2 linked regions of the Nothobranchius furzeri genome follow. The protein of the gene in region 2 purifies or fractionates together with the protein of the main gene of each other region. This does not show direct contact. Links are inferred from orthologs where the notes say so. Each region holds a gene or a part of one and is shown on either strand. Other genes may lie near its edges.

The links.
Region 1: the proteins of phf19 (region 2) and eed purify together in Homo sapiens (affinity purification with mass spectrometry; 8 studies listed by BioGRID and IntAct, counting the BioPlex papers as one, with this or other methods). This does not show direct contact. The link is inferred for Nothobranchius furzeri from reciprocal best matches to the Homo sapiens genes PHF19 and EED.

What each region holds. Positions count from the first base shown.
Region 1 is NC_091743.1:86,053,205-86,057,624, reverse strand, and holds the start of eed (polycomb protein eed), read right to left. Parts: upstream 2,843-4,420; 5' UTR 2,774-2,842; coding exon 2,669-2,773; intron 2,168-2,668; coding exon 2,015-2,167; intron 1,917-2,014; coding exon 1,824-1,916; intron 1,507-1,823; coding exon 1,441-1,506; intron 314-1,440; coding exon 188-313; intron 112-187; coding exon 30-111; intron 1-29. Other genes in the region: pwp2h (PWP2 small subunit processome component), read right to left, coding at 3,500-3,659, 3,755-3,829, 3,904-4,054, 4,125-4,343. UniProt on the Homo sapiens protein: Polycomb group (PcG) protein. Component of the PRC2/EED-EZH2 complex, which methylates 'Lys-9' and 'Lys-27' of histone H3, leading to transcriptional repression of the affected target gene.
Region 2 is NC_091750.1:35,547,079-35,551,670, forward strand, and holds the start of phf19 (PHD finger protein 19), read right to left. Parts: upstream 3,013-4,592; 5' UTR 2,741-3,012; coding exon 2,736-2,740; intron 2,403-2,735; coding exon 2,219-2,402; intron 2,126-2,218; coding exon 2,044-2,125; intron 1,595-2,043; coding exon 1,481-1,594; intron 1,403-1,480; coding exon 1,305-1,402; intron 1,226-1,304; coding exon 1,077-1,225; intron 1,005-1,076; coding exon 909-1,004; intron 834-908; coding exon 644-833; intron 1-643. Other genes in the region: fibrinogen C domain-containing protein 1, read right to left, coding at 3,902-4,161, 4,232-4,411.

The sequences.
Region 1 (4,420 bases), on a different chromosome or scaffold from region 2:
TCGATGACCATCACCATCAGGGGCTTTACCTTTGCTGACAGACAGGAGAAGATTCGGATCCCTTGGGTGAAACTTGAGCTCGTTGATGGCGTTCCCGTGACCCACGTAGTGCTGGATGGGAAACAAACACACTACTAAATGACCCTCAAAGCCACATTTTCAAAGAGGTTCTCTACAGGAAGACTACCTTGATGCACTGCATTGTGATGTGATTGATGACCCGAATGATGCCGCGGGACCCGGCTACAGCCAACAGCGGGTGGCTGGTGTTGGTGTCATAGGTCCAAGCACACGTGTAGAAGTTCTCATCTGCCTTGGAACGCGTTCAGTCAAGAAAATCGCAGAAATCAAAAAGTTTCTGACATTTCTGCAGCTACTGATCAACTCTTGGGTCTTTCCAAAATAGATGTTGAGAAAAAGATGATTAACCCTTTAGGCGCCATAGTTTTTTCAGTAAAATATAAGTTTTTCATATCACTACTTAAAGAGCTTGTAGCTTAAATCTGGTTAGAGATAGAGGAATATTGTAAATTAGAAAAATCTTCAGTATGAGCCAAATTTTGTGATAGGAACAAATTCACTCACACAATTTTCATACTATGACATCATCAGATAGCAGCCATATTGGATTGCATCACATTTGCGGATTTGTTTGTCTTATTTTCTTAGTGTTGTTATTGTTTATGATACATATATGTGTACATAGGAATATGTATATAACTATGTATGTGTATATATATATATATATATACATATATATACACATATTACTTTATTGGTATTTTGTTATGTTTACTGCGTATCAATCAAGAACACTGTTTTTGGTGCTTCAGTGTCATGAACACATTTCACTCATCCCTTCTTTAATTATAGTTTATTTGGTTTATAATTGTTATATATATATATACACACACACACACACACACATGGTTACTATAATGGTTAGTTTTACCAAACTCACAGGACACACCCACTCTCTCAGGAAGAAAGCTTTGGTCATGCGTCAAAAACATGTGAAGTTATGTTTATCTGAACTCTGTTAGCTGGATAAGGTGAACTTGACCTCCTTTGCTGAACACATCTTTTACTGTCATCATAATCATTATTATTATACACACATTTATATAGCTAGATAGATGATAGCTAGATAGATGATAGATATAGATAGATAATAGAGGATAGCTGATAGACAGGGGCTGAATTGATCACCAGCAGAGTTTTCAACGGCCCGATCACCGCCACCACATTCCCCATGCATGAGGGCTCATTTCTGCTGCTGTGGCTTATTAAATCCAACATTGCTGCTTGTCGCAATTCTGCGACTTTGGCGCTTAAAGGGTTAACATATCTGTAAATCTTCATTTACTGATCTGTATCTAAATTAAAGAACAACAGATTCCTTTTTGTGAAGTTTAGTTTGAGCCAAAGCAGGAAGGATACATCTGCATCAACGTACGACTGCAACAGTCGGATCTCTCCCTGAGAGTGGCATTCATACAAGGTTACCTGTTAGAGAAATCAGAAATATCATTTATGTAAAACTAAATGTTTTTCACAACAAGAAATGTGTATTTTTAATGAAAAAAGTCCTGAATAATCATCATTCTTTAAAATTTGTCAAATCTCTTATTTTCTGTAACAGTAAATTAAGGACACTTGAAGCAGCTTATCAGACACAAAAGGACGTCTGATTGCTTGAAAGGCATCACCATCTTTCTATCATGCAAGATATGGAACTGATGAGCAGAAAATTGATTCTGAACTAGAAAAATTCATGAAAACACCCAGAAAAAGCCAAATAAAATCTGTCTGCTTGGGGTTACCCTGTTACTCCCGACTGTGGCGAACACCAGTGGGTCTCCTTCCTTACTGTGCCAGTTAAACTGGACTCCAAACAGTGGCTGGCCATGGTCCTCCTGAAAAATATCCACAAAGTTTCACTCCCACTTCACCTGTAAACTAAATTCTGTAAATGATGATATTTGAATGTATTTAGAACAGCAGACATTCTCACTCTTAAACTGTTAACACATTTAAAAGAATATCTGCACTTCTTGGACTTCCACTTGCCCTTGCCCCAGCTCTTCCTGCCTGGGGCATTGGCGGTGTTGGTGGGGGTGTCTGGACGCTCAGTGTTGGTCCCACTTTCAACACTGACCGCATCATCCTGTAAACCAGAGATGCGGTTACTGAAAGACAAGATGTCCAAAACAAAACACCCAACCTAACCACATTCATTTTATTGGACAAGTACCAGTAAACCTAGGCTTTATTTGGACAGAAATAAGTGAAACAAATGTTTGAAGCACTTTTAACATGAAAAACAGACTACCAGCAAGTTTTTCCTTTCCTCAAAATGAAAAATAAACATTATAAACTGCATTTGAACACTTATTTTAGGAATTTGTAAATAAATACAAGCTTCTAAATCACTCCTGCTGAAGCTAAATCGAACAAGCCAGGCTTTTTGAGGTTAAATATAAAAGCCCATGCTTCTGTGGGTCACATAGACTGATTTAGAGCCATTACCACCATCAGAACCACAGCTGCAGGTGAACAAAGATGCCAGCTAGCTAAGCTCTTTAGCTTTCCGGCTTCTTGCTTTAGCGCTGAGCTAACCGGCTAAAACGTTCACTTGTAGTTGCAGAAATGTTTATAGAGCTCTTACGTTCTCGTCTCCTGACAAATCGGGGTTGCTGTTCTCGTCACTGCTTAGTTTTTGTTTTTTGGCCGGTAATTCTTTTCCCGCTTCAGACAGGCTCTTGTCTCTCATTTTAGCTCCGAAGGCTAACCCGCCCGCTGTTCCTTCTTCTTCAATCTAATTTAAGGCAAGGTGAACTTTCAGAAGGCGCTCTGTCACCCCCTGTTGGTCACGTTTAGTTACTGACGGAGAAGCTTCCACTTTTTGAGTTTTCTGCTTTATTTCACTTTGGACAGGATTCAGATCGGTTTAAAAATAGTAAATCCCGTGTTTTTTTTAACTCCCTAAACAACCTATTTGTTAAAAAGAATACATTCTGCTCTTAAATTGTACATTTAAATGTCTAACACAGTAACTTGGGACATTTCAAGGCAATATTTCCACATTCTTCAGCTGTAAAAATGTATTTTTTCCTTGAAAATGTCGTACTATTTACCTTTGTTAGTATTAAATAAAAATAATATTTTAGATTTGTTCTTTTATATTTCTAGAAATACTTCTTTTGACTTAATACTGCCCAGCAAAGCTAGTTTTAACCACAAATGGCAATTCAGTCTTTAAGTGTAAATTTCTAATATAAGTAAGAAATAACTCCAAAAATATTTTTTGCGTGCCAAATTGAAAGATTAACCCGTAGCAGCCTCTCAAATGAATAAATTTACCAGAAAAAAGCCAAAAACAAGAAAGACACTTTTACTGAATTTATTATAAAAACAGGCTATTTTAATATTTAAAGTATGGAAAAATGGACTTTTACAGTTGAACATCTGTCAATCTGAGACATTTTTAGTAATCAGACTACAAGATCATCTCTGAGTCATCTAAAGAGGCTTCGCTCATCTCCTCCGACAACCCTTCATCCTGCTCTTCTTTCTCCTCCTCCTCGGCAGGCCTCTTTACACACTTCTGCTTTGAAAGCGCCACAGCGTAACGGATGTTGTACATGTTGAAGTTGCAGCTGTGGAAAAAAAATATATATAAATATATATATTTAATGACTTAATGCTTCATTTTAGTTATGATGATTAATGGAGCAACAGTGTTGAGACGTACAGCTTTGACAGGTTGTCAAAGTGTCTCTGGATGCTCTTCTGAAGCGCCTGCAGCGTGGGCAGAACCGAGCCAGACCTGCGGACCATAAGAGATCCAGTTAAGACACTGATGATGATAATGATGATGCGAGTCGAGGCAGCCGTGTCGACCTGTTCTTTAGTTTCTGTCCGTGCAGCATCAGCAGGTTCTGGGCCCAGGTCATGTAGAACTGCAGGTGACCTGACTTCTCCAGACAATCGGCCACGAAGCCCAGGAGCTTCTCCACGTAGACGTCGGGCAGAGAGCCACAGACCACCGGGACTGAAACACAAACTCAGTCAGGCGTCAGAGGTCCAAACTCTCCTGGCCGACGGTTTTTAAAGCCACTCACTCTGATCGTGCGGCACCGTTTCCAGAACTTCCTGCTTCAGGGCGTTCTCGTTGAGTCGGAACGCCAGGACAATGGCCGCCATCCACTCCTTTAGGCGCAGCTGTTTTCGGATGCTGGTCGGCGTCACGTCCAGATCCAGATCGTATGGGTCGAAGACCAGAGACCCGTCTAGGGAGTAGATCAACAGGCCCTCGGTGGTGGTGGCGGCCCAGCTTCGACCTGACAGGAGGAACCAGGTCAATCGTTTTAGATCGGACTTAAAATGATAAAGTAAGGCCCTGTGAGTTACTTGGCAC
Region 2 (4,592 bases):
CTATGGGAAACATGCCCACTTGCCCTAAAAGCAGTTTCCTGCTCCTCTGCCCTACTGGTTGAAAGTGGAACTACAACTGTCGTAAACAACCCTCCAGCAGCTCGCTGTAGCTAGCGCTAACAATCAGCTAACACTAACATCAGCCAACTGATACTAAAATAAGCCAGTAAGTAAAAAAAATCCAAACTGTCGGACAAAAATATTATTACTTACAAGTCCTGTAGCAACAAAGCCAGGTCACCATCAGTCCATGTTTTTGTTTAGCTCCCTTAAACGAGTGTAGGCTGCGCTGATGTTCACTCTGGTTTTAGCTCTTCTGCTTCGCCTTCACATACATTACTCACTTACTTTTACTTGAAAAGCAAACTTCTTATTGATGATCGGCAAACTGAGCGCCATGTGGGACACTTACCCGCTCCACAAAACTATCAAGGGCGATTTTTAGTCAGCAGGGGGCTGCAGTGGTGCCAAACATGAAACTGGTCAAGTTTCTAACTCAACAATCACTGAGACCAATGTTAAAGCTCAAGCTTAAAGTAAAAAAAAAAACAACTATCAATCGTTACTTTAAACCAGTGTTTCTCAATGCCTTTCCATCACGCCCCCCGGGGAACATATGCTCTGGATCAGAAGGTTCTGTTACCTTTCCAAGCTGTAACTGGTCCCAGTTGGCAGAGACAAAGGCCAGAATCTCATCCAACTCAAAGTATTTCTTCTTGCTGCTGACTGACAGGTTGTAAAGGACAATGTGGACCACATCGACCCACCTGAGGGACAGACGGCGGACATACTCTGACCCTTTGTTGCACACGGCACACAGGAACAGGTAAAACCTGAGAAAAACCAGACAACAGTCAGGATTTTCCACAGGAGGAATTGTGGACTGGATGAAGTTTCCGTCTCTGAACCTGTCTCCAAACATCATGGACTCCTGCAGACACTGAATACACGCCTCGTGGAACCACTGCTGACACTTAAAACACTGCATCATCTTCAGGTACCACCTGCACACAGAACAACATCAGCTGCCGGTTCAACACACCTGGACAGACTTGGTCCTGATTGGTCACACTTACTCTCCAGGACCACCACAGTAACAGTAACACTGCTGCTGATTGGTCCTATGCTGAGAGTCCCAGCTCAGAGAGGTCAGGTCGTAAGGCAGAACCTGCTTCATGGCCCAAAGAGCTTTGGCCAGCGCTCCTTTCTTCAGGGCACCGCCTTTCTGTGATGACACAGGAGGACCGGTCATGTGGGGTTACCAATCAGAGACAGGAAGGAAGGGCAGGAAGGAAAACCGGTACCCGCACAGCCAGAGCAAAAACACAGCGCCTGCAGAACCACGGTCTCAGGTCGCTGCTATCGCCCTCTACTGGAGGAACATGGCACTGCTGGTGGAAACCTGCCAGAGACACGGGTAAAACAGGTGAGGGGACACCATCTCCACACAGCCAGTCTCTGTCCAACCCACCAGACTCACCTATGCCACACTTTCCACAAATCAGAATTCCATTGGTGTGTTTTGATTGGTTCTCAGATTTTGGCTCCACTCCGTTGCACACGGAGCAGTGAGGCTCCTCCCCCGGTATCCCAGCTGTAATGTGATTGGACAGATTTTCATGCATCAGAAGGGAGCCTAAGTCTCCTCCCCTCCCGGTCGGCTCACGAGTCCCCAGAACAAAGAAAAAATGAACGTAAGTGAACGGGGCGATGAAAGCGATTAGGCTTTTCCTCAGAATCACGCGCATGTTGTAGTTCGACTCAAACGAAAGGTAATATTGTGTTTTGGACTATGCGACTTAGGCTCCCCATGTGTGGTTCTGGTCCAGTTGTGTTCAGGTTGAAAGCTCATCATCACATCTTCAGCTGGAGACACCATCTTGATGCCTAATGTAGTCTCCCTAACCCACGTCATGAATATTAATGAGGAAGACTCATAATCCATGTTTTCCGCTGACCCATTCTTCCGATAACCTATCAGGATAATCAGACTAACCGACTAGTTAAAGGGAAAGTGACTGGCTAGTTAGCTAACCGTCTCACCATGTTGGATGTCCTTCCACAGCACCCAGAACTTGGAGTTGTCCTCGAAGGTGACGAAGCAGCTCTGCCTGGGGGAGCTCACCTGTTCATCAGTCAGAACAGCATTTTGAGCTCTCGACCAGTCAGGTGATGCTACTGACAGTGTGATGTCAGGTGTGTCTGAAGCTGGACTCACCCTCTGTATCCTCCCCACATAGTACAGTCCATCTGACCAATGACAGAGCACGAACTGACCAATAGTCAGGCAAGACTCCGGCCCCTCAACATCCTCTGGGATTGGTCCACTAAGACATGCCCCGCCCCCTGGACACACCTGATGTTCCACACCAGAGAAGGCCTGGACCAGGTCCTCAAACATCCTGGGAAGGAGGGAGAGAGAGAGACCGTTGAGCAGAACAAGCAGACAAAAGGCGCGCGCACAGGAACTCTCGGTCGAACTCTGATTCATTCCTGAACTGTCAAGGGGGTTTCTGACATGTGTGAGCATGCGCAGTGCATCCCTCCACCACAGACCGTTAACTAACCTACTAACCACATAACCACCACACCCTGAGCTCGTTACCGACCAGAAACTACCGGCAAGACCCAGTTACAATAAAACGGGGTTAACACTGACGTTTTTTTTAATCACAGACACATAATGAAGCCGACTTGTCAAGAACCGGAGCCGGTTCTCCACTGAGCCGTCTCACCTCATCTGATGCGGGCTGTGTCCTCCTCTCCCGTTATCCGGCGCTCCGAACTGCACCGTTAGCCGCGGAGGGTCACAGGTCCTCCGGCGAGCCCCTTCTGCTCTGTCCCCCTGTCTCTTCTAGTCTGTCCCCGGTCTTCGTCCCTTCCTCCGTCTTTGTCTCTTGGTCTCTGTCCTCACCGCAGTCTCTGCCTTCACTTCAAACTCCCACAATCGCCATTTTTTCATTTTCCCGCGAATCGCAGGATGTTTGTAGATACGTGATGACGCCATATCCGAACCCCGTATAATCAGAATGTATGGCAAGCCGTTTTTACATTTATTAGGCACTCTCAGAAAGCACTAAGTCCTATTTGCTAGTAAAAATTTACAATATTCAGATATCCATAATAGTATTCTTACCATCCCTAACGACCGATTAAAGATGTAAAAGACTACATTGTTATTGTTGTATTTTAGACAGCATTATTTGGCTTAGTTTGACGTAGCAGCAAAACCTTTTACACTGAAAATCTTGTAGCGAGAAAAGACTGTAATTACATTAAAATATAAATATTTCATTTTGAATGTTTCACTTTATATTTTACTATTCTACTTGCAATGACACAACTGAGCACAGTGCAACATGTCTGACAGGCACAACTGAGTCTTGGCTTCAGCCTATTGCACTATCAAATACAAAGAATTTTTTACTTGTTGGTGTACAAAGTTTTTAAAAAGTGGAGTAGTCAGGTGACAAGACATCGCCTTGCAAGGCGGTTTTAAACACCCCCCGACTCCACAGACAAACTGGTACAGCGTGGATGGAGTTAGCGTGTTCTCCGCACCATTAGCTGGCTTTTTACTGAATATTATTCTGTTTTTGTTCATGAACTTGTGAGAAAATACTGAAACACTGTTAAAATGTCACAGCAAATGTCAGTTTTTTATTCATATCTAAAATCAGATTTAAGCAAGGAGACAAATGGAAGAGCAGCGGATCCTTTAATATTAAAACCTCCCTAATATGTAACCAAACATTAGTCATACAGAAACAAGTACCGCCTATAGAGACTGTGAACAGGAACCCATCCGCTGTTTACAGGTAGAAAAAATAGTTGTCACACTTTATTTAACAGGTGAGGACTGATATCAGGTCCTGGCTGGTTTGATGTCCAAGATCCTGGTTTAGGACTCAAGTTTTCTGGGTCGTATCTTCATCTCAGTGAACTGAAGAGAGTACTGCCAGCCGGTCCAACTGGACCACTCAACACCATCAGCGTAGGAGGCGTGGCCTCCTCTGAGGTACTGCCCGTTCAGGTTGGAAGTATGGCAGTTCCGATACCACCACGCCCCCTGATAGTACGCCGCACAGTTGTTCTCAGACTGGTCCTGGTCACGATCTTTGGTGGTGAATCGCATCCCCGAGTGTTTCAGGAGAGAGTCACCTGGAGGAGGCAGAGCATCGGTGTTAAAGCTGTACCAGGAATGTGTGGTAAAGGTAGTACTGTTCAGTACCTGCAGTCCCAGAGTACCCATCCACCAGCAGTGGGTAGCCATCCTCCTCTGGGTTCACAGAGTCTCGACCAACAGAAAAGTCTGAGTAATGAGCAAAAGCTGTGGCGTTGTCAAAGTCGGCCATGTCAATACGTAACTCGAAACCACCCGACCTGGTGAGTGAGTAGATCCTCTGTAGACCTGGGAAGGGGATGGGTCAGTGGGAAAGTTTCACACTGGTCGTGTTTCTAAAAACACACTGCAGAACACTTCTAAAACAAGGTCAAAATCTAAAACCCAAGAAACAGTCCAAAGAGTCCAAAAAACCCCAAAAGGAGTCTAAAAAGATGGGAATAAAAGCCAACGGCATTAAAAATCCACA